4 linked regions of the Anolis sagrei genome follow. The main gene of each other region encodes a partner of the protein of the gene in region 4 in a complex. Links are inferred from orthologs where the notes say so. Each region holds a gene or a part of one and is shown on either strand. Other genes may lie near its edges. The genes, in order: MAP3K20, dual specificity mitogen-activated protein kinase kinase 3-like, PKN1 and AKAP13.

Evidence for each region.
Region 1: AKAP13 (region 4) and MAP3K20 share a complex: the UniProt entries of both Homo sapiens proteins name them as parts of the signaling complex. The link is inferred for Anolis sagrei from reciprocal best matches to the Homo sapiens genes AKAP13 and MAP3K20.
Region 2: AKAP13 (region 4) and dual specificity mitogen-activated protein kinase kinase 3-like share a complex: the UniProt entries of both Homo sapiens proteins name them as parts of the signaling complex. The link is inferred for Anolis sagrei from reciprocal best matches to the Homo sapiens genes AKAP13 and MAP2K3.
Region 3: AKAP13 (region 4) and PKN1 share a complex: the UniProt entries of both Homo sapiens proteins name them as parts of the signaling complex. The link is inferred for Anolis sagrei from reciprocal best matches to the Homo sapiens genes AKAP13 and PKN1.

Annotation. Positions count from the first base shown.
Region 1 is NC_090021.1:192,978,733-192,986,291, reverse strand, and holds the start of MAP3K20 (mitogen-activated protein kinase kinase kinase 20), read left to right. Parts: upstream 1-4,533; 5' UTR 4,534-4,720; intron 4,721-7,559. UniProt on the Homo sapiens protein: Stress-activated component of a protein kinase signal transduction cascade that promotes programmed cell death in response to various stress, such as ribosomal stress, osmotic shock and ionizing radiation.
Region 2 is NC_090035.1:3,667,827-3,675,367, forward strand, and holds the start of dual specificity mitogen-activated protein kinase kinase 3-like, read left to right. Parts: upstream 1-4,530; 5' UTR 4,531-4,642; coding exon 4,643-4,658; intron 4,659-7,541. UniProt on the Homo sapiens protein: Dual specificity kinase. Is activated by cytokines and environmental stress in vivo. Catalyzes the concomitant phosphorylation of a threonine and a tyrosine residue in the MAP kinase p38.
Region 3 is NC_090022.1:128,247,061-128,255,063, reverse strand, and holds the start of PKN1 (serine/threonine-protein kinase N1), read right to left. Parts: upstream 3,011-8,003; 5' UTR 2,951-3,010; coding exon 2,906-2,950; intron 1-2,905. UniProt on the Homo sapiens protein: PKC-related serine/threonine-protein kinase involved in various processes such as regulation of the intermediate filaments of the actin cytoskeleton, cell migration, tumor cell invasion and transcription regulation.
Region 4 is NC_090029.1:22,068,446-22,075,740, forward strand, and holds the start of AKAP13 (A-kinase anchor protein 13), read right to left. Parts: upstream 3,066-7,295; 5' UTR 2,895-3,065; intron 1-2,894. UniProt on the Homo sapiens protein: Scaffold protein that plays an important role in assembling signaling complexes downstream of several types of G protein-coupled receptors.

The sequences.
Region 1 (7,559 bases), on a different chromosome or scaffold from region 4:
AGTCTCTGGCATCTCCTGTCCTGGTTCTATGGTATAAATTGAATTTGTTGCATGCCTTCAAGTTGTTTACAATTTATGGTAACCTGTCTATGGTATTTTCTGCTCTTCCAGACAGACCCTATATTCCAGGATCTGATCCCTAGTTTTCTGTTTATCCCAGATTATCTGGCAGTGCAGACTCATATCCAGTTTAAAGCAGAAAACCTGGGATCAGATCCAAGGAAAATGGGATAAAACAAAAACCAAACATTCAGAACTATTCTTACATTATATCATCACATGTGGGGCTTAAAAGCCTGTCTGGAAGGGTCCCTAGTCTCCAGAGTCATGTTCTGACACTCAAACCACAACACCATACTCCTTAATTTTTCTTTTAATATATTTTATTATATCACACAAAATTTAGACTTTTGTTCTCCTGATAGCACAAAATGTTGTTCTCTTAAAGTTTTGTTTGTGACATTGAGAAAGAATGAGAGAAGGTCATGGAGACGAAGGGCTACTACAAGTTGAACATCCTTTACCTGGAAGTCTAAAATCCTGAAAGGTTTTAAGCATGTATTCTTACTATAGGTTGAACATCCCTGATCTAGATGCTCCAAAACCCAAAACTGTCCACATAGGTGGTTGAGATAGTGCCACCTTTGCATTCTGCTGGTTCGGTGCATCTACATTGTAGAATGAATACAGTTTGACATCACTTAGTGCCATGGCTTAGTGCTATGAAATACTGAAAGCTGCATTTTTACAAGGTCTTTAACCTTCTCTACGAAAAAGTGCTAATTACCCACCAGACTACAACTTCCAAGATTCCATCATGTTGAGCCAAGGCAGTTAAAGTGCTGTCAAATCTCAATTCATTCTACAGTGTATATGCACCAAAGGTGCACATAAATGCACATAATATTTGTGTTTAGACTTGAGTTCCATCTCCAAGCTATCTCATGATGTTGCTTTGCTTTTGCTTTAGGCGATCCCTTGTAGCCCGAGGATGATGGTCCTCCAAGACTGGTATGTATAGGCAGATACCTACACAGATATTCCAAAATACGAAAAAAAAAAACCCAATGTCTTTGATCTTATGTATTTTATAGTTTCATCTGAGTGTTTTTATTGTGTTGCTCAATGCCTTGAATTGTGAAAAGAGTTGGGTACAAGCAAAAACAATGAAGATGAAACACAAATGAAATTCATGTTTAGACTTGGGTCCTATCTCCAAACTGTCTCATGCTGTGTGTATCAGAAAATACCTGTATGGGCATTTCAAAATACAACAGCAGCAGCAGCAGCAACAACAACACCCAAACAGTTTTGTTTATACGATCTTTCACCTTCTCTGCCACAGAGTACTCATCCAATTCCTTGTATTGAACCATAGCAGTTAAAGTGTCGTAACCTTTATTAATTATGGCATCCATGGTGTCAGGCATGTAGCCGGGGGGGGGGGGCTCGGGGGGCTTCAGCCCCACCTGAAATTCTCATGGTGGTTCGCGAAAAGGCCTTACTGGTGCATTATTTACACTGTTATGTTTATTCATATCATGATCTGATCACCATACTCAGTATATCCCATATGCATGGGGGTATTGGGGTAATGATACAAAAGGTTTGCTAGGGCAGACCCTCTTTCACTCAGACTCAGCCCCCCCCCAAACTCAGCCCCCCCCCCGAAACCCCCCCTGAAAAAATTTCAGCCCCCCCCCCCCCCCCCGAAACGAAATCCTGGCTACGGGCCTGCAAGGTGTATATGAAACACAAATTAATGTCATGTTTAAGCTTTGGATCCCGTTTGCATGCTATTTGCTGATGTAGGATATCCTCTTCATTCTGGAAAGAAGTGACCAGTAGAGTGCTGCGGTGTTCAGTTCTGGGCCCAGTACTGTCCAACATCTTTATTAATGACTTGGATGAAGGTTTAGAGGGCATGCTTATCAAGTTTGCAGACAACATCAAATTGGGAGAATAGCTAATTGAATTCTGCTCCAGAGGACAGGAGCAGAATTCAAAATGATCTTTACAGATTAGAGAACTGATTGGCACAAACTAACAAAACAATTTTCAACAAGGACAAATGTAAGATACTACACTTAGTTAGAAAAAAAATGTAATGCAAAGATATAGGATGGGTGATACCTGGCTGGACAACAGTCCATGTGAAAAAGATCTTGGAGTCTTCGTGGACAACAAGTTAGATATGAGCCAACAGTGTGATGCAGCAACTAAAAAAGCCAATGCTTTGAGCTGCAAAAAAAGGAGTATAGTGTCTAGAACAGTGGCTTCCAATCTATGGTCCGTGGACTACCAGTGGTCCACAAGAACAAAAATATGGTCTCCGGCCTCGCCATTTCTACACCATTGCCTCCAAACCGCATGACAGTGAGAGCCACTGGTTTCATGAAAACCTCTTATAGTGCTGAGGCAACAGGGATGTTGGGAGGGGAGAGGCAGACTACCCACGAAAAATTACTACTACATTATTACTACATCACCTGTAGATTATTAAATATAATTTTCTATGGGCAAGCAGTTGGCAACTGTTGGATAGCATATGTTCTGTACCAGAAACTAGAGCTGATGTGGTCTATCCAATGCCATTTTCTGAATCAGCACCTCTTTTGGTACTAATGTTGGGGAGTGGTCCCTGATAAAAAAAAAAAAAGGTTGAGGACCACTGGTCTAGATCAAGTTCTGCCAACCTAGCAGTTTGAAAACATGCAATTGTGAGTAGATCAGTAGGTACTGCTCTGGTGGGAAGGTAACAGCGCTCCATGCAGTCATGCTGGCCACATGACCTTGGAGGTGTGTCTACAGACAATGCCGGCTCTTCAGCTTAGGAACGGAGATGAGCACCACCCCCCAGAGTTGGACACGACTGGACTTAATGGCAGGGGAAAATCTTTACCTTAAGGGTTAGGATAAGGTTTAGGGCAGGGGTCTTCAAACTTTTTAAACAGAGGGCCAGGTCACAGTCCCTCAAACTGTTGGAGGGCCAGATTATAATTTGAAAAAAACATGAATGAATTCCTATGCACACTGCACATATCTTATTTGTAATGCAAAACACTTAAAAACAATATAATAATTAAAATGAAGAACATGTTTAACAAATATAAACTTATTAGTATTTGAATGGGAAGTGTGGGCCTGCTTTTGGCTGATGAGATAGGATTCAAGAGAGATATTGACAAGCTGGAATGTGTCCAGAGGAGGGCGACTAAAATGATCAAGGGTCTGGAGAACAAGCCCTATGAGGAGCGGCTTAGGGAACTGGGCATGTTTAGCCTGAAGAAGAGAAGGCTGAGAGGAGATATGATAGCCATGAATAAATATGTGAGAGGAAGACACAGGGAGGAGGGAGCAAGCTTGTTTTCTGCTTCCTTGGAGACTAGGACGCGGAACAATGGCTTCAAACTACAAGAGAGGAGATTCCATCTGAACATTAGGAAGAACTTCCTGACTGTGAGAGCCGTTCAGCAGTGGAACTCTCTGCCCCGGAGTGTGGTGGAGGCTCCTTCTTTGGAAGCTTTTAAGCAGAGGCTGGATGGCCATCTGTCAGGGGTGATTTGAATGCAATATTCCTGCTTCTTGGCAGGGGGTTGGACTGGATGGCCCATGAGGTCTCTTCCAACTCTTTGATTCTATGATTCTATGATTGTTGTTGTTGTTGTGTGCTTCCAAGTCATTTCAGACTTAGGCTGACCCTGAGTGAGGGCCGGGTAAATGACCTTGGAGGGCCATATGCGGTCCCTGGGCCTTAGTTTGAGGACCCCTGGTTTAGGGTTTGGGTTAGGACAAGGATTTGGGTAAGGGGTTAAGCTTAGGCTTATGGTTCAGGTTTAGGGTTTCCCCATTAAAGAACTCTTACATTCCTTCTATTTTTTCTGCCTCCAGCTTGGCTTACACTAGCTAAGTCTCTCTTGCACAAATAGTGCTCCAGAAGGAGTGATGCAGCATCTCCGTAACACTCGGAGTTTCGGACCCAGCTATCATACTATTACCCCAAAACACCTGAAGGGCCAAAGTTCGCCCATGCCTGGTGTACATGATAGACTGAATGACAGCACTTCAATAGCCATGACTCAATGCTAGGGGGTGGTGAGAGTTGGAAGAATCCTAGAGTTGGAAGAGACTTTATGGGCTATCCAGTCCAACCCCCTGCCAAGAAGCAGGAAAATCGCATTCAAAGCACCCCCGACAGATGGCCATCCAGCCTCTGTTTAAGGAGCCTCCTCACACTCCGGGGCAGAGAGTTCCACTGCTGAACAGCTCTCACAGTCAGGAAGTTCTTCCTAATGTCCAGATGGAACCTCCTTTCTTGTAGTTGCATTTTCCCAAGATCTGTCGCCTCCCTTGCCCAAGAGTGCGGGTGCCTCCTCAGACTACAACCCCCATGACTCCATAGCAATGAGCCAGGGGCAGTTCAAGCGGTGGGAACCGCATTAATTCTCCAGTGGAGACACGCGGGGGAGGAAGGGAGGAAGGAGGGAGAGAGGGAGGGAGGGAGGGAGGCGGGCAGGCGGGCGCGGGGTGGTGCTGCTGCTGCGCCTGGCCGCGCCAAGGCTGGCCTCCTTTGACATCCACCGGAAGCGTGGCAGCAACTCCCTCACTCCCACGGAGAGGCACCTCCACGCCCCACGCCGCCCGCCAGAAGAGGGCTGGCTTCCCCGGCTGTGGGGAGCTTCACACTCGCGCCTCTGGCACGGCGGGCACTTCCAGGAAGGTAAGGCTACAAAGTGGCGGGCGCAGAGCTGGGAAGTGTTTCTGTGGGAGAGCGAGAGGGGGCTCTGGGGAGGGCGTGCTTGTGGATATGTGTGTGGGAATGCCCCCCTGGCTCAGCCCCCTTCCCTCGCTCACCAGGGAGGGCCTTTATGTAAGTTTTTGGACAAGTTAAGAGGGACGTTTCCCCTCCTTCGAGCACAAGAGCAGCACACCACCCACACCGCCAAAGTTGTGGCGTCGACTGGGAAAGAAAGGCACTCCACTAGGCCTTGCTGCTGCCGGCAGTTTGGGAATTCAGGTCTACCTGAGCAACCCCGCCCCATCCGAGGCAGAAGCGGGTGATTAAAGACCTGGGCTTCTGGCATTTTTTGTCCCCATGATGCAGCCTCACAGAGAGCTCTCTGGGAATCGTTGCCTTGTTCCTTTTCCCTCTGCTTTCCTATCTTTCCCAAACTCTAGTGCAGTGCTTCTCAACCTTCGTAATGCCACGACCCCTTAATACAGTTCCTCATGTTGTGGTGACCCCCCCCCCCCAACCATAACATATTCGTTGCTACTTCACAACTGTAATTTTGCTACTGTTATGAATCGTCATGTAAATGTCTGAAATGCAGGATGTATTTTCATTCACTGGACCAAATTTGGCATAAATACCTGATATGCCCAAATTTGAATACTGGTTGGGTTGGAAGCATTGGTTTTGTCATTTGGGAGTTGTACTTGCTGGGATTTATAGTTCACCTACAATCACAGAGCATTCTGAACTCCACCAACAATGGAATTGAACTAATCTTGGCACACAGAACTCCCATGAACAGAAAATACTGGAAGGGTTTGATGGGCATTGACATTGAGTTTTGGAGTTGTAGTTCACCTACATCCAGAGAGCACTGAACCAAACTTGGCATGGATACTCAGTATGTCCAAGTGTGAATACTGGTGGTGTTTGGGGGAAATAGACTTTACCATTTGGGAGTTGTAGTTGCTGGGATTTATAGTTCACCTACAATCAAAGAGCATTCTGAACTCCACCAACAATGGAATTGAACCAATCTTGGCACAGAAAACTCCCATGAACAGAAAATACTGGAAGGGTTTGATGGGCATTGAGCTTGAGTTTTGGAGTTGTAATTCACCTACATCCAGAGAGCACTGTGGACTCAAACAATGATGGTTCTGGACCAAACTTGGCATGGATACTCAGTATGTCCAAATGTGAATACTGGTGGAGTTTGGGGAAAACAGACCTTGACATTTGGGAGTTGTAGTTGCTGGGATTTATAGTTCACCTACAATCAAAGAACATTATGAACCCCACCAACGATAGAACTGGGCCAAACTTCCCACACAGAACCCCCATGACCAACAGAAGATACTGTGTTTTCTGATTGTCTTTGGTGACCCCTCTGACACCCCTTTGCGACCCCCCAGGGTTCCCGACCCCCAGGTTGAGAAACACTGCTCCACTGCAGCTCATAGAAGCCCTGATCATTTCCTCAGGCAGGTGAGGTTTCTGGGAGTTGCGGGTCCCAAACACATGGAGAACTAGAGTTTGGGATTACGGCTCAGGGCAGGCATGGACAAACTTCGGCCCTCCCAATGTTTTGGTTCTAGAAAATGGCATTCATAACCATTTGGAGATCATAACCTTTTGGAAAAGCCGTGGTCTTTCAGAGAAGAGCCAAAAACCCATCTGAGTATAATCTTCTCAAGTGGTACACAACCAGAATTTTTTTATCATGTCAGAAAGGACTTGAGAACACACTGCAAGTTGCTTCTGGTGTGAGGCAATTGGCCTTCTACAGAGACATTGCTCAGGGGACTCCTGGATGTGTTACCGTCCTGCTGGGAGGCTCCTCTCATGACAGATGGGAGCTCACACCATCTCACAGATTCAAACCGGCAATCTTCAGATCACCAACTCAAGCTTCAGATCAGCAGTCCAGCCAACACAAGGGTTTAACCCAGTGGTTCTCAACCTATGGGTTCCCAGGTGTTTTGGCCTAGAGCTTCCAGAAATCCCAGCCAGTTTACCAGTTGTTAGGACTTCTGGGAATTGAAGGCCAAAACATCTGGGGACCCACAGGTTGAGAACCACTGGTTTAACCCATTCTGCCACAACCAGATATAGTTATGCAAGTCAATTTGGCTTTCAGTTGTTATTAATAACCTGTTGTTAATCGGAAATGGAATATGCCAGTGCAAGTGTTTTTCAGTTGCCCCAAAATTCATCTACTCTCCCATAAAACAATTTTTTATATAATGCACTCAAGAGACAAAATTGAAGTAGATTTTGTTAAAAATAGCATAACCACATGAAGTTGTGGTTTACTCACAACTTAATGTGTTCAGCATACACAGGTACACAACTTACAAGTCCAGTTGCAGGTATGTTTGAGACAGTTGCTCTGGGCACATGGCATCTTTCTTAAAATCAACAGCAGGCAAATGTTGGTCTGAATATTTCCAAAGTCTAATGGAGTCTGTGCTCTGTGTTCATCTCAGAGCCTAATTAAGTGGTCTGCAGCTGCTCCCACAACTTCTCAAGAAAAACATAGAGCAAGGAAAGAAAGCTGCATATAGAATCATATAGTTGAAAGATGCCTCGTGGGTCATCCAGTCCAATCTCCTGCCACGAAGCAGGAAAATCACGTTCAAAGTACTCCCAACAAATTGCCATCCAGCCTCTGTTTAAAAGCCTCTAAAGAAGGAGCCTCCACCACATTCTGGGGCAGAGAGTTCCACTTCTGAACAGCTCTCACAGTTAGGAAGTTCTTCCTAATGTTCAGGTGGAATCTCCTTTCCTGTAGTTTGAAGTCATTCTTCCATGTCCTAGTCTC
Region 2 (7,541 bases), on a different chromosome or scaffold from region 4:
TCCAACTCTATGATTCTATTATTTCCCCAGGCAGGAAGCAGCCAGGTTTTAAAGCTACGAGGCTATTAAATGCTAATAAAGGAGCCCAGTTGCAGAGAGTGTTCAAGGATCGGGACATCCATAGGGAGACTAAGGTGCTTGTTTGTAAAGCTGTAAAAGGCCTCAAACCCTCCCATAACATCATTTCTCACGCACCTGCTTCTCCTCTCCTTATTTCCAATTCCTTGGAAATAAGTTGCATACAGTGTCTCTGAAGTTCCAGTTGCCTTGACCTAGACAAACATTGACCTAGACAAATGTCACTCTGAGTCACCTTCGGGCTGATATGGGCGGGGTAGAAATTGAGTAAACAAATAAATAAATAAATAAATTCATCTCCCACGTTTCTCTCCGTCTGTACTTCTGGCAGGTTCTCATGAGAACGGATATCTGTTGCTTGGCAGAATGGGGTTGGACTGGATGGCCCATGAGGTCTCTTCCAACTCTATGATTCTATTATTTCCCCCAGGCAGGAAGCAGCCAGGCTTTGAAGCTACGAGGCTATTAAATGCTAATAAAGGAGGCCAATTGCAACATTTCCACTGGCCTCCAGCAGACAAGAGTTCTTTCCTCCACCTTGGACATCATTCCACAGCTATATGAACCTCACTTGCCTAGTTACCAACAGACTTCACAACCTCTGAGGATGCCTGTCACAGATGTGGGCGAAATGTCAGGAGAGAATGCTTCTGGAACATGGCCAGGCAGTCTGGAAAACTCACAACAACCCAGTGATTCCGGCTATGGAAGCCTTTGACAACACATACCTATCCTGCCAAACATAGCTTCGCATCCTTTGGCACACCGTGGGTAGATCAGGATTTTTTCATTCCCGATTTCAGGGCAAATCGCATTGTATAAACAGTACAGCCAAGGCGTGTCAAGGGCACCACAAATTCCCCCCTACACACGGGCAGGAACCTTTGCGAAATCACATTCCATCGGCAGAGCAAGGCATGTGCCATCGGAGGAGGAACTCGTCGGTTTTGCCCACAAGGACCAGAGCTAAGCATGGCATTCCAATCCTAGGTGAAGCACTCCAGGTTTTGGATCACAACTCCCATCACAGTCACTTCTCTGGAAATCTGAACCATGCCATGATTTAGAAGCTTACGAGAAGCTCAGCCTGTCATTGAACATCGGGAAAACCAAAGTGCTCTTCCAGCAGTCACCGGCAAATCCCTCTCCAATGACAGAAATACAGCTTAATGGTGTAACATTAGACAATGTTGACCATTTCCGCTCCCTTGGCAGCCACCTCTCCACCAAAATCAACATCGACACCGAAATACAACACCATCTGAGCTCTGCGAGTGCAGCATTCTTGCAAATGAAGCAGAGAGTGTTTGAGGACCGGGACATCAGTAGGGAGACCAAGGAGCTTGTTTACAAAGCTATTGTCCTCCCAACCCTGCTATATGCCTGCGAGACGTGGACTGTCTACAGACATCAACATTGAGACTGAAATACAACACCGCCTAAGCTCTGCAAGTGCAGCATTCTTGCGAATGAAGCAGAGAGTGTTTGAGGACCGGGACATCCGTAGGGATACCAAGAAGCTTGTTTACAAAGCTATTGTCCTCCCAACCCTGCTATATGCCTGTGAGATGTGGACTGTCTACAGACGTCAACATTGAGACTGAAATACAACACCGCCTGAGCTCTGCGAATGCAGCATCCTTCTGAATGAAGCAGAGAGTGTTTGAGGACTGGGACATCCGTAGGGAGACCAAGGTGATTGTTTACAAAGCTATTGTCCTCCCAACCCTGCTAAATGCCTGCGAAATGTGGACTGTCTACAGACGTCACATGCAACTCCTGGTACGATTCCATCAGCGCTTGCCTCCAAAAAACTCCTGCAAGTGCAGTATTTTTCCAAATGAAGCAGAGAGTGTTTGAGGACCAGGACATCCGTAGGGATACCAAGGGGTTTGTTTATAGAGCTATTGTCCTCCCAACCCTGCTATACGCCTGCGAGACGTGGACTGCCTACAGAGGTCACATGCAACTCCTGGAATGATTCCATCAGCGCTTGCCTCCAAAAAACTCCTGTAAGTGCAGCATTCTTCTGAATGAAGCAGAGAGTGTTTGAGGACTGGGACATCCGTAGGGAGACCAAGGTGATTGTTTGAAAGCTGTTGTCCTTCCAACCCTGCTATATGCCTGCGAAACGTGGACTGTCCACAGATGTCACATGCAACTCCTGGAATGATTCCATCAGCATTGCCTCCAAAAAACTCCTGCAAGTGCAGAATTTTTCCGAATGAAGCAGAGAGTGTTTGAGGACCAGGACATCCGTAGGGAGACCAAAGTGATTGTTTACAAAGCTATTGTCCTCCCAACCCTGCTATATGCCTGCGAAACGTGGACTGTCTACAGACGTCAACACCGCCTGAGCTCTGCAAGTGCAGCATTCTTCTGAATGAAGCAGAGAGTGTTTGAGGACCGGGATATCCGTAGGGAGACCAAGGTGATTGTTTACAAAGCTATTGTCCTCCCAACCCTGCTATACGCTTGCGAGACGTGGAGTGTCTATAGACGTCACATGCAACTCCTGGTACGATTCCATCAGCATTGCCCCCAAAAAACTCCTGCAAGTGCAGCATTTTTCTGAATGAAGCAGATAGTGTTTGAGGACCGGGACATCCGTAGGGAGACCAAGGGGCTTGTTTATAAAGCTATTGTCCTCCCAACCCTGCTATATGCCTGCGAAACGTGGACTGTCTATAGACGTCACATGCAACTCCTAATACGATTCCATCAGTGCTTGCCTCCAAAAAACTCCTGCAAGTGCAGCATTTTTCTGAATGAAGCAGAGAGTGTTTGAGGACCGGGACATCCGTAGGGAGACCAAGGAGCTTGTTTACAAAGCTATTGTCCTCCCAACTCTGCTATACGCTTGCGAAACGTGGACTGTCTACAGATGTCACATGCAACTCCTGGAACCATTCCATCAGCGCTGCCTCCGGAAAATCCTGCAAAAAGGGAAGGAAGGAAGGAAGGAAGGAAGGAAGGAAGGAGGAAGAGAGAGAAAAGAAGAAGAGAAATAAAAACAAAGGAAGAATGGAGAGAAGAAGGAAAGAAAGAAAGAAAGAAAAAGAATGAAAAAATTGAATGAAAAAAAGAAAGAGAAAAAAAGGAAGACAAAAAGAGAAAAAACTAACAAAGGAAGAATGGAAAGAAAGAAAGAAAAAGAGTATCAGAAAGAAAGAGAGAGAGAGAGAGAGAAAAGGAAGAAAGGAAAGAAAGAGAAGGAGAAAAAAGAAAAGAAAACAGAAAAAGGGAGAAGGAAGAAAAGGAAAGAAAAAGAAGAAAGGAAGGAAAGAAAGAGAATTAGAAAAATGTAAGGAAAAAAAGAAAGAAAGAAAGGAAGGAAGAAAAGAAACAAAGAAAGAGAAAGAGAAAAAGGAAGGAATAAGGAAGGAAAAAGAAAAAAGGAAGGAAAGAAAGAAAGAAAAAGAGAAAAAAATGAAGAAAGGAAGGAAAGAAAAAGAACAGAAAAAGAAAAAGGAAGGAAGGAAAGAAAAAAGAACAGAAATTAAGAAAGAAAAAAGAAAGAAGGAAGGAAGGAAGGAAGTACGAAAAGAAAGAAAGAAAGAAGAAAGAGAAAAAAGGAAGGAAGGAAAGAAAAAGGAAGGAACGAAAGAGAATGAGAAAAAAGGAAGGAAGGAAGAAAACGAAGAAAGAAAGAGAGAGAAAAAAGGAAAGAAAGAAAGAAAAAGAAGAAGGAAGGAAGAAATAAAGAAAGAGAGAGATAAAAGATAGGAAGAAAAGGAAGAAAGAAACAAACAAAGAAAGACAAAGAGAAAAAGGAAGGAAGGAAAGAAAAAGAAAAAAGGAAGAAGAGAAAGTGAATGAAAAAAAAGGAAGGAAGGAAGGAAAGAGAGAAACAAAGAAAGAGAAAGAAAAAAGGAAGGAAGGAAGAAAAGAAAGAAAGAAAGAAAGAGAAAGAGAAAAAAAGAAAGCAAGAAAAAAGAAAGAAAGAAAAAGAAAAAGGAAGAAAAGAAAGAAAGATAAAAAGGAAGGAAGAAAAGAAAGAAGCAAAGAAAGAAAGAGAAAAGGGAAAGAAAGAAAAAAGAAAGAAAAAGAAAAAGGAAGGAAAGAAAGAGAAAAAAGGAAGGAAGAAAAGAAAGAAAGAAAGAAAGAAAGAAAGAGAAAGAGAAAAAGGAGGGAAGGAAGAAAGAAAGAGAAAGAAAAACGAAGGTAGGAAAGGGAGAAAGAAAGAAAAAGAAGGAAGCAAGGAAAGAAAGAAAGAAACAAACACCAGGTAGGCAGGAAGGGGGCGTGCCTCCAGGTGCGACTCCACCCCTCTGGTCACGTGGGCGATGGTCCCATGGCACCTCCTTCCAGGTAGCCCAGGATTCCAGACAGGCCACGCCCATTGGGGGGCCTGGCAGCCAATGGGAGCGCGGTGCGGCCAGGTGGGCGGGGTCCAGGTGTGTGCTGGGGCTTCCACCCTGCCAGTGCCCAGGTGAGGCTGGTGGAGTGAGAGAGCCTTTCTTCCTTCCTTCCCTCTTGTTTTCTTATTGGGATCTAACTGGATCTAAGGCGGATCAGGACCTGCGAGTGGACGGCTCCCAGCCAAGGGAGAACGCTCCCAGACATGTCCCTCCCGAAAGGTAAGAAGGGCCAGGTAACTTCCAGGGAAGGGGATGGTGGGATTGGCAGTCTCCCCAGCCTTTAGAAGAAGGCTGTGGTGTTTTTAAGCCTATATTTTGCTTGTATTTAGAATCATAAGAGATGGAAGGGAACCCTAAAGGTCATCTAGGCCAACTCCCTTCTCCTAGGTAGGAGAAGCACCATCAAAGCCTTCCAGACAGATGACCATCCAGCCCTTGCTAGATAATAATAATAATAATAATAATAATAATAACTATAATTATAATTATTATATCCTAACGTTGGAAGAGACCCCCTAAAGGTCATCTAATCCAACTCCTCTCTGCCTTCCTGCAGGAAAAGAACCACCAAAGCCGTCCCAACAGATGGCCATCTGGCCCCAGCTTTATTATTGTTGTTGTTGTTGTTGTTATTATTATTATTATTATTATTATGTGTTATGGAATCATAAGAGTTGGAATGGACTCCTAAAGGTCATCTTGTCCAACTCAGAAAAGAACCACCAAAGCTGTCCCGACAGATGGCCATCTGGCCCCAGCTTTATTATTATTATTGTTGTTGTTGTTGTTGTTGTTATTATTATTATTATTATTATTATTATTATTATTATTATTATGTGTTATGGAATCATAAGAGTTGGAAGGGGCCCCTAAAGGTCATCTAGTCCAACTCGCCTCGGCTAAGTAGGAGAAGCACCATCAAAGCCCTCCCAGCAGATAGACATCCAGCCCCTGCCAGATAATAATAATAACAACAACAACTATTATTATTATTATTATTATTATTATTATTATTATTATAGTATCCTAGGGTTGGAAGAGGCCCCTAAAGGCCATCTAGTCCAACCCTTTGCCCGGCAGGAGAAGCACCATCAAAGCCCTCCCAACAGATGGCCATCCAGCCTCTGCCAGATAACAACAACAACAACAACTATTATTATTATTATTATTATTATTATTATTATTATTATTATTATTGTATCCTAGGGTTGGAAGAGGCCCCTAAAGGTCATCTAGTCCAACTCTTTGCCAGGCAGGAGAAGCACAATTAAAACCCTCCCAACAGATGACCATCCAGCCACAGCTAGACAATTGTTGTTATTATTATTATCATTATTATTACTATAGTATCCTAGAGTTGGAAGAGGTCCCTAAAAGCCATCCAACCCTTTGCCAAGTAGGAAAAGCACTACCAAAGCCCTCCCTACAGATGGTCATCCAACCCCTGCTAGATAATAATAATAATAATAATAATAATAATAGAAGGTTCCTAGAGTTGGAAAAGACCCCTAAAGGTCATCTAGTCCAACTCTTTGCCAGGCAGGAGAAGCACCATTAAAACCCTCCCGACAGATGACCATCCAGCCCCAGCTCGATAATTGTTGTTATTATTATTATTATTATTATTATTGTATCCTAGGGTTGGAAGAGGTCCCTAAAGGCCATCTAGTCCAACCCTTTGCCAAGTAGGAAAAGCACTACCAAAGCCCTCCCGACAGATGGTCATCCAACCCCTGCTAGATACTACTACTACTAATAATAATAATAACTATTATTATAGAATCCTAGAGTTGAAGAGACCCCTAAGGACCATCTCTCTTCTAACTCAAGGATATAATAATAATAATAATAATAATAATAATAATAATAATAATAACTATTATTATAGAATCCTAGAGTTGGAAGAGACCCTAAGGACCATCTAGTCCAACTTCCTTCTGCCTTCACGCAGGCAAAGCACAATCAAAGCCCTCCCGACAGATGGCCATCCAGCCTCCAAAGAGGAAGCCTCCACTAGACTCCACTGCTGAAAAAGCTCTCCTTATGGTTAAACAATGACATTTTGTAGAACAAGTTTGACTTCCGTGTTGTGATCTTAATTATGGATTTGCACCATAACAAAAGGCGGTCCTTGCCGGCACGGCTGGCTTCAAGCCAAGGTGGGAGTGGATTGCAACTCCCATTATCCACAAAAGCTTCCAGGTTGACACGATTGTTAGAAAAAGCCTGCCAGATCCAGGCGCGGCTTCCTCTTCCACTTCCTCTCTTCGGTTTCGGTACCTGTTCTTCCCAAATATTGCCTTACGTTGCACCAAGGCTGCAAAACATTCTTTTGTCGTTGTTGTTAGGAGATGATGCATGCACCAAATGTTTGCTTCGTGCATACTTTCTTAGTAACATGCTCTGGTATGATCAAAAGCCCAACATGTGATGGATATGCCGAGTGACTGATGGCAATATAGTATATGGTTCATGGTTAGGAATGGTGGGAGTTGAAGTCCAAAACACCTGGAGGGGCCAAGCTTGCCCATACCTGTGATAGAGTCTGGGATATTTGCAAAGTTTTGCAAAGTTTGGCAAAGTTTTGCAAAGTTTTGCACGCCTTCTCTGCAAGAGAGAGGGATGGTGCCTCAGCAGACTACAACTCCCAAGGATTCATCCTATTGAGCCTCACTGTGGGACATAATTGTGCTCTTTTTTTCTGTTTTGCAAGCTGCAGAAAGGCAGTTGTGCGTCATAGACGTCAGGCTCTCTCGGCCACCTTTCTCGGGGCGTGTGGCGGTTGTGTCATGCTTTGTGTTTGTGATTGCTTACTCACCTTCACGGTAGAAACTTGCGTGGCGTTGACTGCTTTCCAAAGCATTTCCACCTCCTGAATCTTTCAAGAAGCAATTTATTTACTTCCAAGGGGTTGCAACTCCCAGAATCCTTTGAGCCCGGAGCTTTGCAAAGTGTTCATGTTGGGGACGTGCTTTTTAAACATGCCAAAAGCGGGAATTCGGTTTTACTAGCAAAGCATGGGCAAACTACAGCTCTCCAGGTGTTTTGGAAATACAACTCCCACAAAGTTTGCCCGTGCCTGAGTTAAACCAACACCTTATA
Region 3 (8,003 bases), on a different chromosome or scaffold from region 4:
ATTATTTAAATAACTTTGAAGTGGGTGATGAAAACACTGAAAGTGTTAAGTATTTTTAATACCTTGGCTCAATCATTAATTGGAATGGAAACTGTAGTCAAGCAATCACACGAAGACTAGAACTTAGAATAGCAGTTATGACAGAATCTGACTAAAATCTCAGATGCAAAGATATATTATTTAACACCAAAATCAGGATAATCCATGCAATATAGTTTCTGATTTCTGTGTTTGGATGTGAAGGAAGGTCAGTGGAATAAGCTGGCAAAAAGATCTGTTCATCTGAAATATGATGTTGTATCTGTTTCTGAATCCTTCTTTCTTACCCCAAACCAAGCATGGCGCCAACATTTTGGACAAATGGGGAGTTCTCTTTGTGCCTAGGCCACAAAGTTACCAAGCATCCCACAACCTCTCTCCCTCCCCCTGCCACCCTTAGGGAACTGGATAATTCCTCCCACACCCATCCCCACTTCCACATCTTCTGCACAGGAAGGATGGCTGAGCACATGTCTAATTCACCAAGAGCTGAGCCACACACTTGAGATCAAACATTTTTGCTGAGTACTTCCTATATTCATTGCAAAACGGTGAAGTGTTTAAAATTAGTGTTTTAATGACACTGTTTTAAACAGTTCCCCCCTTTGACAATTTACATAAAATATATGAATTATGTTTATTTAAAATCAGTCAGCCTGGCCCACTTGGTAGACTTAGACAAACCATTATTATCTCAGCCACCAATGTGAGTTTCGATAAAATAATATTTACCTATCTTGTACAGACATTATAAGAATAATTCATAATATTTTAAAAACAATGTCAACACTATAAGGCACTATACAAATGCTGAATACTATTTAATGCTTTTAGACTGCCAGCCATTGCATGGATATGCCTTTTGGAAAAGATGGAGTGGGCAGAGAAAGACATTAATCCAGAAATGTGTTGATATACCAGGAATGTGGGAATGAACTATCGCTGTTTAAAGAAGTCAACTTATACCGTAGTTAGCATTAAGCACAGTTTGTGATGTAGTTGATTTAAACCAGGTGTAAGAGCTTTGGTTCTCCTACTCACAACCATATCAGAAAAAGACCAGGATATGTGAGCCTGAGATTTGCTGAAATTGTTTCCTGCCACAGTGGATGTGATGCTATGTCTGAATGTGGCCAAGATCTTTGGGCAATAATAGTGAGGCGGTGCTATATTTCATTTACAGCCCAGTGTGCTTTCAATATATATAACGAAGGCCACAGCCTAAACCTATCAGATCCTTGTTGAGACTTGAGTAGGTCTTTGTCCCAAGCTGAACCCAATGCAGGGGCTTCAGTTGTAAAGTGTGTATTAATAGCAACTACGAACAGAGTTCCTGCAAGGACAAACAAAATTAAGGATTTCAAAAGAGTCCTTTGAAAATTATGACTGCGGCATATATACCACCATACGCTTCACAGGCGTAACTTAAGCAAGATGACAGGCCTGTGCCCTAGGGTGCTCTCTTGTTTGGGGTCTCAAATGCCTCATAGTCAGTAACGCAGTGTCTCCTTTCCCCAACTCATATGACATGACATCCCTTCCTCCACAGACACATCATCTACTGTTCACACTGCTGATGCTTCCAGCATTTACAGAGAGGCACTGTTTTTGCAGATCCAGACAGCATGTTGCCCACATATGTTCCAGAAGTGCTCCTTCTTGTGCATTACATACTGTATGGGCAACATGCAACCACTGCAGAGGCCTCTTCCATGGGCTGTGTGGTTACCCATGCTTCTGCTGAATGTCTTGCCAGCATCATGCCACTTGGTGGACTCTATTAATTAAAGGGGAGGATGGCACATAATTAAAGGGGAGAGTAGCAAATGGAGAAATATTAATTATGTTAGTTTATTTATATCTTGTTTCTCACCCATCCCACTACTGGAACTTAGGGAGCTTGCAACAATTAAAATAGACATACATGTAAGCACATACCAATAAAAAAATGTAAGCCTTCAAAGTCTAATTAATCCAGGACAGTCAATATGGTTGAAGTCTGCATATTGGACTGATGGTTCTAGTCCAATATTACTGGATGACCAAGTCACACTTTCTCTGCCTAAGGCAGTGGTTCTCAACCTGTGGGTCCCCAGGTATTTTGGCCTACAACTCCCAGAAATCCTAGCCAGTTTATCAGCTGTTAGGATTTCTGGGAGTTGAAGGCCAAAACATCTGGAGACCCACAAGTTGAGAACCACTGGCCTAAGGAGAAGGCAATGGCATCTCCCTCTCTGCTGAACAAATCTCACCAAGAAAATGCCCTGATAGGTTTGCCTTAGTGTCACCATATGTCAGAAACAACTTGAAGGCACACAAAAGCAACAAATAATAAGACCATCAATGTAACAACAACAACAACAATCTTCATTTTTCCATGCTGGAACTGAAAAACGTGTGTGTTTATATGTGTGTGTGTAGTCCAACAAACTGTCCATTACCATTATCATTACCATGCTTATGCCTTGTAGGGAAAAACAGCTGCCTACCTTTGTTTACTGTTGCATATGCCTTGTAGTTTTTTTTCCTGATTGCTCTCTACAATGCCCAGGGGATTGTGAACAGGCATCTCCTATGTATACAGACAACTGCACATAAGGGTAAGTTGCAACATGTTGATAAGGCAACCCAATTCTAAAACCACAAATGGAATTAAATGCAAGCATCCAGATTTCACACATATTCCTCCAAATATAATTATCCATTTAGACTAGGATTCAGGCCCACTTTACAGCCGTATTGATTTATGATGTATCATAAGATTGTTTTCTGCACATTGCCCCCCCCCCCACCAACTGTTCAAGAGGGAGGGAGGGGCAGTTAATAGCACAGCCCTCTGCTATGAATCCCTTCCAAAAGGCAGTACCTCCAACTCATGCTCAGAATTTGTATCAGGCTCCGAGAAAGACATCCTGGCCCGTGGAGAGGCTCAGCAGCGATCGCCAGTCCCTTCTGCTCCCAACTGCGTGCCGGCTACACCCTCATTTCCTGCCTGTAGATTCAAACCGTTCTTTTGGCCTGTGTGCAAACAAACCACTTCCTTACAGAGTTCCTGCATTTGCTGGCAATACCGGAACCCAGGCTAACTGAAGGGAGCAACCACGGGGCCTATGTGCCCCCTGCTGACTTTCCAAACGCCATCCCTTCAACCTCCAGAGTGAATTTGAAAGGGGAAACCAAATCTAAACATTACAGAAGGGAAATACTTTTATTTGGACCAATCGAAACATAATAATATACTGTACAACTGTTGAGTCCACCAGAACTTCATTCAGCTGGAAGTAACACAAAAGAGTAACAGATAGTTGGGACATGATGATGAAGCTGCCATTTATAACACTTACATTGCAGAACCTAGGTTTTACAGAACACGTGTGTCAGATTTAATTGCATTAGACTGTACAAGAGGGGCGGGCTATTGCCAAAACTACTAAACATGCAAGCAAACAAAAAAAACTTTGTTCTGAAAAATTTGGGGTATTAAACAAGTATATGTGTGAGTGATTTCCGGAGAAGCAAAGAACCTTTTTGCCAGAAGAAGATCAGGAGTGCAAGATAGTTAAGAAGTGCTGAAATGGTGTGTGTGTGATATGTGAGCCGATGTGTACTCTACTGGATTGGATTCAGAGAGAATGAGCAAAGAATAATGTGTTAGAAGAAGAAATGTATTTTTCTCTTTACTAGTTATAAGACAGGAGAAAAGGAGTACTAGAAGATGGGTGCCTTAGACTCAGGCCAGCTGGCAGACTGTATCTTCCGTATGAGCCTGTCCAGGTCCTGAGATCCTGAAGTGAGCCTCTTCTTTTGACCCCCCCCCCCCTCACCTTCCTAAAATGGGCCCCTCCTGGCAGTCCTTTTGTTGGCAGGTAAATCCTCTTCTATTCTGGCAGGTGTTTGAAAATTAAAGGTTTCAAAAAGAAGGGCTTTTAAGAGGGCATTGTACTGTTTGAACCGTACTGCTGTTGCATTGCTTTTAACATTTTAATTGCATCTTTTCAATTGTTTTTAGTGTGGTTAATAGTTTTGTTTCACATTGTTGTTGTTTTTTAAGATTGTAGCTATGCTGTATTTGTTTTCATTTGTAAGCTGCCTTGAGTGCTGGTTTTGAGGAAAGTGTGGGGTAGAAACAAAAGTTGTGGTGATGGTGCTGATGATGATGGTAAGAAAAATGCCAACAATATGTGAAAGTGAGATCCTTACAATACTGGCCAGATAAAGTAAGAACAGGAGCATAGTTACAGTATAAGCAAAGGCTGATATTTAATATCCTGCAAGTAATGGAACTACAAAACGACATATATCTGCAGGACCACTTCTTGGGGTTTTGTCTGCCGCCAACAAAATATGCCCTCTCTAGGAATTTTCTAGATCCTCTAGGGCAGTGGTTCTCAACCTGTGGATCCCCAGATGTTTTTGCCTTCAACTCCCAGAAATCCTAACAGCTGGGGAACTGGCTATGTTCTCTGGAAGTTGTAGGCCAACACACCTGGGGACCCACAGGTTGAGAACCATTGCTCTAGGGTGTCTCCATGGTAAGTTCCATTGGCAATCATTAATTTTAATAGGGTTCAATCCACGGTTTCCTATTTAAATGGTAAATTTAGAAATGCAACCCCCTTGATGTGTCATATTGTAATTTATGCAGATGAAATGGCTACCAGTACTTTGTAACTTGCTTGAGCATTCAGATAAAGGCACTTAGTAAAAGATGAAAAACATTCTGAGAACAAAGGTATTGCAAAACAAGATACCTTTTTGGTCACTTACTTCTGTAGCTGACCATGCCTAACAATCTTTGAGGCTGTTGCCTTGTCTTAACAGACTGCCACTAAGGGCCCTTCTACACAGCACCTTAAACACGGCATTTACTGGGTTAAAAGGGGGTGGCTACATGAGACTACATGTAAATCAGCACCGATTCATTGCAACAGACTAAAAATACAGGTTAGAAAGGCCCTCTTTTATACCAATACTGGCCGGCAAATGCAGATATTCGCATTACTGTATATCCCTGCACTTGCGAAAAACACGTACTTTCTTTCTGTCTTCCCTGTTTCACATGTCCACTTTTAAAAAGCCCGAAACAGCTGATCAGTGCATTGAGCTGTGAAATGGATACACAGCTGCTATAAAGGAAGCATGAACTGAGAGCAATTAGAACCCTCTAAAACTCTTTATTTCAAACTTTGAAATGTTAAACAGAGCTTGAAAAAACAATTGGAGGAAGGGAGAAATCTGACAGAAGGGGTTTTGTTATGTGATAAACCTCATATACACACATACAAATCTGCTTATATTTATATTAAGATATTTGCACGGGCACATAATTGCATGTACGGTCCAGCGCATAATGGAGTAATTTTTTTAAAAAACCCTTCTGTCCCTCTCCATCTTGTTCTGATACAGAGGATGGCCGTGAAGAAGGCAGGGGAAACAGTACCAGGACTAACAGGTCTGTGTGGGAATCTGCAGTCAGGTTCTGGCATTTTTTAATTCCCATTTAAACCCGTATTTTTGTAATGTCTGGAAGCACCCTAATTCAACTCCTACAGAAGCCCATTGATAAGATAACACAGGTTTTTAGGGTACATTTTAAACAAAAAATAGCTTGATGCTTAGTCACATATATACATTAATCCAATTCTGCAGAAGCAGTACAGAATGACTTCTTCTTCTTCTTTGTAACTAAGTCATTAGGAACTTCCCCTGTAAGTTTTCAATTTCCAACATAGAAGCTCCTAGCTCAGTTTTGAGCAAGGATAAAGTTTAGTTCAATACATTGATTCTTGATGGGTAATCTCACAATAGAATAACAACCCCCAAACAACATTGTAAAAAGATGGGTTCACATTTAAAATTGTATGGCTTTTTAAAAGGCCACTGTTAAGGACTATTCAGTAGAAAAAGACAAAGCATGGGCCTACATAAAATACCAATTCCTCATCTGCATCCCAGATGTAGCTGCACCTCTTGCCCAAGTAAAAATACACCTAGATTTGGGATCTTGAGGAAGACCATGCATCATTCAAAATATTCTACTAGCAAATGGGCTTTGATAGTGGTGGGGATGGTGACAAAATAGAAGGATGGGAACTACCACATATACTTTTTAATTAAATAGACACGTATGAGATGTCCTCCTACAGTGTCAGGAAAAAAAACACAGGCTCATTTCCTCTCTGAAGTGCCTTTCCATATCCCAAAGGGACTGATGAGAGACTCTAATATGTTATCCTCCACCTGTGCTCTTATTTGGAAGGAAATAAACCCTGTGCAGGCCCTTGAATGTGGCACAACTCCCTGGTGAAAATCGTCCCCCAACAGTGGTAAATACAGCACAGACAGAGAGCAGCTGGAGGAATGGATCTTTAATGTGGCATTGATCCAGAGCCCCAATCCAGTTCAGGAGTCCATTCCAGATTGGGGCCCTATGTCACTGCTTTAAAAAATCACACTCACTTTAAGCATGTTTTAATAAAAACAATTAATTATACTACAAAGTGAATATAGAATTTACAGCTATCTTGGTCGCAGTGGCAGAAAAACTGCTGAAGTCATGTGACACCATTAAGTAAAAGGAAAGCTCTGGATTACTGTCACAAAGGTAAAGCAGAGATACCTTTCTGAGGTGCATCCCAATAGGCCACGTTTAAATATCCTATGGAAATATGGCAGGGAATAAAAGGAACTACCGGTATGGCTCTTTCAGCTCAGCCTTGTTGCAGTCTGATGTGTACATGTCCTGCTACCTCACTCAACTCTGCCTGGAATCAGTCCAGGTCACAGTCTCAACAGCCTCAGTACTTGCTCTGGACACCTCTTGATGCAATGCAGGAAACGGAGCGGTTGCTGACTCACGCCACTTCCTTCAGCACTGCCCCTAACATAATACTGCAGAGCTTACGACCACACAGAGACCAGAAAAAGCGGGGATCTATTTTGCTGTTGCTGCAGATGCACATTTGAAGACGACACTATGCAGCAGAAAACTAAAGCTTTGGTCCACTCTGCCTTGTGCTTTTTTCATATGCCTTGGACTTAAAAGAAAAGCTATGTGTCTGGGACAGTCACTGAATCCCTGCCTGAAGGTCGAGATGATGTATACAAGGGAAGTTGAACACATGCTCTCCACTGCCCATTTTTCACACTACTACTTGTTGATTTTCAAAATTATTACACTATGTAACATGATTTTTGCTCCTCAGTTATAAATGTCATTTCCTAATTGGTTCTATCATAAAAACATGGGAAAAGCTTTTAGTTTTTCAATGAATATCTCACTGAGTCTCAAGCAATTCAACATAGTTTGTAGTAGCCACAAAACTGAAGTTTCTGGGGTATAACCGCTATTTTCAAAGTAAGTACTGAATAATTAAACAGAAGTAACACTTTTAAAGCAGTAACATTTTTTTTCAAATTTTGTTACATAGTGTTATTTAAAGAGAATTAGTCGACTCCAAAGGCAAGAAGGGACCTGGACTAGGTGAATAAGAGAGGACTCTTGACAAGCAAAATAAAAACTATACAACGACTATACCTAAACTGCTATTAAACAACTATTCTTTTTAAAATCCCAAACTACAACTTTCCACTCTCTATTTGATGGTTGTTATTTTTTATTGCTCTACTTCCTTTACAAAATAATATGATCACACTTCTAATTTTGGAAACACTCTTCTAATTCATGAATCCCACAATTGATCCCTGTCATTGTTGTGAAAAGGTTAAAGTAAAGGTTTCCCCTTGACATTAAGTCCAGTCGTGTCTGACTCTAGGGGTTGGTGCTCCTCTCTATTTCTAAGCTGATGAGCCGGCATTCTCCATAGACACTTCTAAGGTCATGGGGCCAGCATAACTGCATGGAGCGCCATTACTTTCCTGAAGAAGCAATACCTATTGATCTACTCACATTTGCATGTTTTTGAACTGCTAGATTGGCAGAAGCTGTGGTTAACAGCAGGAGA
Region 4 (7,295 bases):
GGACCTGGAAATAACTTGGCACACAGAACTCCCATGACCAACACAAAATACTGGAGGTCTTTGGAGGGATTTAGGAGTTGTAGTTCACCTACATCAGTGGTTCTCAACCTGGGGGTCCCCAGACGTTTTTGGCCTACAACTCCCAGAAATCTCAGCTGGTTTATCAGCTGTAAGGATTTCTGGGAGTTGAAGGCCAAAAACATCTGGGGACCCCAAGTTGAGAACTACTGACCTACATCCAAAGCACGCTAATTTGATTACTAGAAGGGTTTGGGGGGAAACTGACCTTCCTTTCTGGGAGTTGTAGTACATTCACAACCAGAGAAACTGTGATCTCCACAGATGATTGACCTGGACCAAACTTGGCACATAGAACCCCCATGACTAACTCAACCTGCTGGAGAGGTTTGAGGGGACTGACTCACCATAGAAACCCCATGACCAGCAAAAATACTGGAGGTCTTTGGGGAAAATTCACCTTGTTTTGGGGGAGTTGTAGTTCACCTACATCCAGAGAGTATTGTGAACCCAAACACCAATGGATTTGGACCAAACTTGCCACACATACCTGATATGCTGAAGTTTGATTACTGGAGGGGTTTGGGGGGAACTAACCTTCCTTTCTGGGAGTTGTAGTTCACCCGCAGCAGAAAAATTGTGACCTCCCCTGAAGATGGACCTGGACAAAACTTGGCACGTAGAACCCGCATGACTAACTCAACCTACTGGAGGGGTCTGAGGGGACTGACTCACCATAGTGGGAGTTGTAGTTTGCCCTACCACCAGAAAGCACACTGAACCCGACTGATGATGCATCTAGAGCAAACTTGCCCTACATAACAAACTTTAAGAACTGATGGAGTTTCTCGAGGTTAACCTGGCATGATGTGAGTTGTGGTTCACCCACAACCATATGCATTTTGTACAATTTAGGGGCTCCCGGTGGCGCAAAGGGTTAAACCTTGTGCCAGTAGGGCTGCTGACCGACAGGCCAGTGGTTCGAATCCGGGGAGAAGAGGTTGAGCTCCCTCTGTGAGCTCCAGCTCTCCATGCGGGAACGTGAGAGAAGCCTTCCACAAGGATGGTAAAACATCAAAAAAACATCCGGGAACGTTGTTGCAGGCGACCAATTCTCACACACCAGAAGCGACTTGTAGTTTCTCAAGTCGCTCCTGACACAAACACACGCATTTATCTCACACCAGAAGTGACTTTTAGTTCCTTTTATATATATATATATATATATATATTCATTTTACCAAAAGTAACATAAAACCACAATACACATACTGAAAAGAAACAGAACCAAATAAAAAGTAAGAGAGGGGGAGAAAAAGAAAAGAAAAAAAATATGAATAAAAATAAAAATAAAATAAAGTTGACTTCCGTTCTTCCTCCTTTCACCCCAATAATAAAGAAAAACTTTCTTCGATAGTCCCAACAAAAATTATAATTTTCCCTCAGTCTTTGTCAAAAATCCTCTTATTTACCATGTTTATTAATATAGTCTTCAAAAACCATCCAATCCATCATTTTTATTCCCTTTCCGTTGCTTGATTTTAGCAGAAATGTCAGTTTATCCAAGTCCTTAATTTACATTATTTTGTCCAACCATTGGGTCTTAGAGGGAAATAACTCCATTTTCCAAAACTTAGCAAAAGTCATTCTCACCACAGTCACAAAAAAGTGAACCATTTATCAACATTTAAATCTTTAAATAACTCAAGTTGCTCCTGACACAAAAGACACAATTTTCTCTCACACCAGAAGTGACTTGTAGTTTCTCAAGTTGCTCCTGACACAAATACACACAATTTTTTTTAAAAAATGACTTTTTCAAATATTCCCAAATAAATAAATAGATCAAATCGACTTTTCCAAATAATCCCAAATAAATAAATAGATGAAATCAACTTTTTCAAATAATCCCAAATAAATAAATAGATAAAATGAACTTTTTCAAATAATCCCAAATAAATAAATAAATAAAATCAACTTTTTCAAATAATCCCAAATAAATAAATAAATAAATAAAATCAACTTTTTCAAATAATCCCAAATAAATAAATAAATAAATAAAATCAACTTTTTTCAAATAATTCCAAATAAATAGATAAATAAAATCAACTTTTTTCAAATAATCCCAAATAAATAAATAGATAAAATCAACTTTTTTCAAATAATCCCAAATAAATAAATAAATAAAATCAACTTTTTCAAATAATCCCAAACTGGTCGTAACTTTGCATAAACCAAACAAAAACTCAACGTAAACAAATAGTACACAACCAACGCAAACCTTGAGAGCACAAAGTCTCAGGACTCTAAACCACTGCCAAATAATCCAGATTGTTTCGAACTGGATTATAGGAGTCTACACTGCCATATAGTCAGATAACCTGGATTTTATATGGCAATGTAGATGGGGGCTAAGGCTGACCACCCACAAGGGTCTGTGTACACCAGGCCTGGGCCTCCTGGTGCTTTGGACTCCAACTCCCATCATTCCTAACTTTGGACTCCAACTCCCATCATTCCTAACAGCCTCAGGCCCTTTCCTTTTGCCCCTCAGCCGCTTAAGCGGCTGAGGGGCAAAAGGAAAGGGCCTGAGGCTGTTAGGAATGATGGGAGTTGGAGTCCAAAGTTAGGAATGATGGGATTTGGAGTCCAAAGCACCTGGAGGGCCCAAGTTAGCCCATACCTGCTCTAACTGACCATACAATGCAATTTCACACTATTTCCAATGCTCACAACTTCAGAAAAGTTTGCAAAACTCAGCCCTTGGAGATGGAAAACCTCCCCACACTTTCCTCCTTCCAAGGCTCTCCTTCCAATGAGAAAAAAGGAACTTTTGGGGACACAAAGGAGAAAAAGAAAAAGGCACTCTTGCTCACCGCCACGCGTGACTCCAGAGACACTGAGGAAAAGGAGAAGGAGGAGGAAGCCAAGGGGGAAATGGCCGCTGGCCCAGGATTCCTCCTCTTCTTCTTCCTCTCCTTTTTCTTCTTCTTCTGCCTGTTGCTCGCCTTGCACCGACGGGGACGCGAGCGCGCGCCCGAGGAGGAGGGAGCGCGCGCTGCCCCCTCCAAACGACGCCTGCGCAGAACAGCGCCTTCCAAACTCGGAAAGAGTGGGGAAACTTTTTTCTTTGGGGCTTCGTTGAGCTCCCACGCTTCGGATCCAGGGGTTCCCGTGAGCGCCACCTACTGAGCGAATGGGAGGAGGACACTTTGCAAACAAAGGGATGCTTAGAGGGTCTGGGCACTAGGAAGTTGAGGCAGTTTGGGACACAGTTTGGGTACATCTATACTGTGGAACTGATGCAGTTTGCACCATTTTGGGTGTATCTGCACTCTGGAATTGATGCAGTTTGGCATCACTTTGGGTGCATCTATATTTTGGAATCAATGCAGTTTGGCACCACTTTGGGTGCATCTATACTGTGAAACTGATGTAATTTGGCACCACTTTGGGTGTATTTATACTTTGGAAGGGATGCAGTTTGGGAGTGCTTTGAGTGCATCTATACCTTGGAATCGATGCAGTTTGGCACCACTTTGGGTGCAACTACACTGTGGAATAGATGCACTTTGGGTGCGTCTATACTGTGGAACTGATGCAATTGGGCACCACTTTGGGTGCATCATTCTACACTGTGAAACCGATGCAGTTCGGCACCACTTTGGGTACATCTGCACTCTGGAATTGATGCAGTTTGGCACCACTTTGGGTGCATCTACACTGTAGAACTGATGCAGTCTGCACCACTTGGGGTGCATCTGCACTGGGGAACTGATGCAGTTTGGCACCACTTTGGGTGCATCTATACTGGGGAACTGATGCAGTTTGACATCACTTTGGGTGCATCTATACTGTGAAACTGATGTAATTTGGCACCACTTTGGGTGTATTTATACTTTGGAATTGATGTAGTTTGGGATTGCTTTGAGTGCATCTATACTTTGGAATCGATGCAGTTTGGCACCACTTTGGGTGCATCTATACTGTAGAACTGATACAGTTTGGCATCACTTTGGTTGCATCTATACTGGGGAACTGATGCAGTTTGGCACCACTTTGGTTGCATCTTATACTGGGGAACTGATGCAGTTTGGCACCACTTTGGGTGTATCTACACTCTGGAATTGATGCAGTTTGGCATCATTCTACACCAGGGGTCCTCAAACTATGGCCCGGGGGCCAGATGCGACCCTCCAAGATAATTTACCCAGCCCTCGCTCAGGGTGAACCTAAGTCTGTGGTGACTCAAAAGCACACAACAACAACAACAATCTTATCTCATCAGCCAAAAGTAGGCCGACACTTCCCACTGAAATACGAATAAGTTTATTTTTGTTAATATTGTTCTTCATGTTAATTAATGTATTGTTTTTTTATAGTTATTTGCACTACAAATAAAATACGTATGTTCATGTTTGTTTTTTCAAATTATAATCTGGCCCTCTGACAGTTTGAGGGACTGTGACCTGGCCCTCTCTTTAAAAAGTTTGAGGACCCCTGTTCTACACTGTGAAATCGATGTAGTTTGGCACCACTTTGGGTGCATCTATACTGTGGAACGGATGCAGTTTGGCACCACTTTGGGTGGATCTACACTGTAGAACTGATGCAGTTTGGTGCCATTTTGGGTGCATCTATAGTGGGGAATTGATGGAGTTTGCACCACTTTGTATGTATCTAGACTATGGAATAAATGCAATTTGGCACCACTTTGGGTGCATCTACACTGAGGAATAGATGCAGTTTGGCACCACTTTGGGTGCATCTATACTGTGGAACTGATGCACTTCGGTAGCACTTTGAGTGCATCTATACCAGGCATGCGCAAACCGGCCCCCCATGTGTTTTGGACTCCAACTCCCACAATCTCCAAGGGGAGGAGCTTGAGGCTGTTAGGAATTGTGGGAATCAGAGTCCAAAACACCTGGAAGGCTGAAGTTTGACCGTGCCTAATCAACACTGGAATCAATGCAGTTTGGTCCCACCTTGGGTGCATGTAGGCTGTGGAATTGATGCAGTTTGGCACCACTTTGGGTACAGCTGTACTGTGGAACTGATGCAGTTTGCACTACTTTGGGTGCATCTTTATTGTGGAATTGATGTAGTTTGACACCACTTTGGGTTACTTTCAAAAATTCAACAACTCCCATGGTTCTATTGAATCCAGCTATGGCACTTAAAGTGGTGTCAAACTGCATTAATTCTACATTGTAGATGCTCCCGCTGTTTGGGCACAGCTGATGCCATGCTATGAGATCAAACCAATAGGAAGAGCAATAGAAAAAAACAGATTTCTTGTCTGTTTAATAGGGAGGTAGAGCTAATTAGAAATAGTTTGAGCCAACTAAATATAGAGATTTTGATTTGGACAGATAAGAACAGATTAAGTAAGAAGAGGGAACTGGAATTCTGAATAGCATATGGGATGCTGAGCGGACAGAAAGAGTTGAAGGAGTTCACTTTGTTCGAGAAGGAGTGTTTCAGCGCACTGTGTGCGGAACCAGCATAAAGCTAGGTGTTTATCTTGGCCGGAATCCAGTATTAGCTTATGCTTAACTAAGGACTTAACTGTTTCATATTCATGGTTGCTACTTTAGGGCACGCCCACACAGGCCAAATGGCTGCAGGTTAATGAGTAAAACCAGAGGTGTATCTATGAGAAGGGGTACAAGGGGGACATTGCTATCTCAAAAAGAATGTGGCCCCAACATTTTCCTGCAGCTCCCACATATCTAACATCAAGAGGCTGGTTCTACATCAGCGTTTCTCAACCTAAAATTTGGGACCGGGGGGGTGGTCTCAAAGGGGTCATCAAAGACCATCAGAAATAACAGTATTTTCTTTTGGTCATGGGGGTTCTGTGTGGGAAGTCTGGCCCAATTCTACCATTGGTGGGGTTCAGAATGCTCTTTGATTGTAGGTGAACTATAAATCCCAGCAATTACAACTCTCCAATGTCAAGGTCTACTTTCCTCAAACTCCACCAGTGTTCATATTTGGGCATATTGATTATTCGTGCCAAGTTTGGTCCAGATACATCATTGTTTGAGTCCACAGTGTGCTCTGGATGTTGGTGAACTACAACTCCAAAACTCAAGGTCAGTGCACACCAAACCCTTCCAGTATTTTCTGTTGGTCGGGGAAGTTCTGTGTGCCAAGTTCCGTTCAATTCCATCACTGGTGGAGTTTGGAATACTCTTTAATTGTACGTGAACTATACATCCCAACAAATACAACTTCCAGATGTCAAGGTCTATTTTCCCAAAGTCCACCATTGTTCACATTTGGGCTTATTTCTTATTCGAGCCAAGTTTGGTCCAGATTGCTCTTTGATTGTAGGTGAACTATAAATCCTAGCAACTACAACTCCCAAATGTCAAGTCTATTTCTCCCAAAATCCACCAGTGTTCACATTTGTGCATATTGAGTATTCATGCCAAGTTTGGTCCAAAGCCATAATTGTTTGAGCCCACAGTGCTCTCTGGATGCAGGTGAACTACAACTCCAAAACTCAAGGTCAACTTTTCCAGTATTTTCTGTTGGTCATGCGAGTTCTGTGTGCCAGGTGTGGTTCAATTGCATCCTTGGTGGAGTTCAGAATGCTCTTTGATTGTAGGTTAACTATAAATCCCAGCAACTACAGCTCCCAAATGACAAAATCAATCCCCCCCAACCCCACCAGTGTTCAAATTTGGGTGTATTGGGTATTTGTGCCAAATTTGGTCCAGTGAATGAAAATACATCCTGCATATCAGATATTTACATTACAATTCATAATAGCTGCAAAATTACAGTTATGAAGTAGCAACGAAAATATTTTTTGTGATTGGGGTCAGCATAACATGAGGAACTGTATTAAGGGTTCACGGCATTAGGAAGGTTGAGAAACACTGTTGAACATTATACAGTCAGTGTAAGATGCATTATATTGTCAGCACAGAACCATATAATGCTGCTCACTCTGCATTATATGGATACACACTAACCATTGTTCAATGCGGTGTAAAACTTAAAGTGAAACCATGAAAGCTACCACACTTAAGAGAAGTCTTCTATAAACATATTTCAGTTAACTAGGACCACATCTACAATGCCATATAATGCTGTTTCGAAGTGCATTATATGGTTAGTGGAAACTCATATAATGGAGTTTTTCTGCATTATATGAGTCTATACCAGGTATGGGCAAACTTGGGCCCTCCAGGTGATTTGGACTCCAACTCCCATCATTCTTAACAGCCTCGGGCCTCTTCCTTAATTGGCTCAGGAGGAAA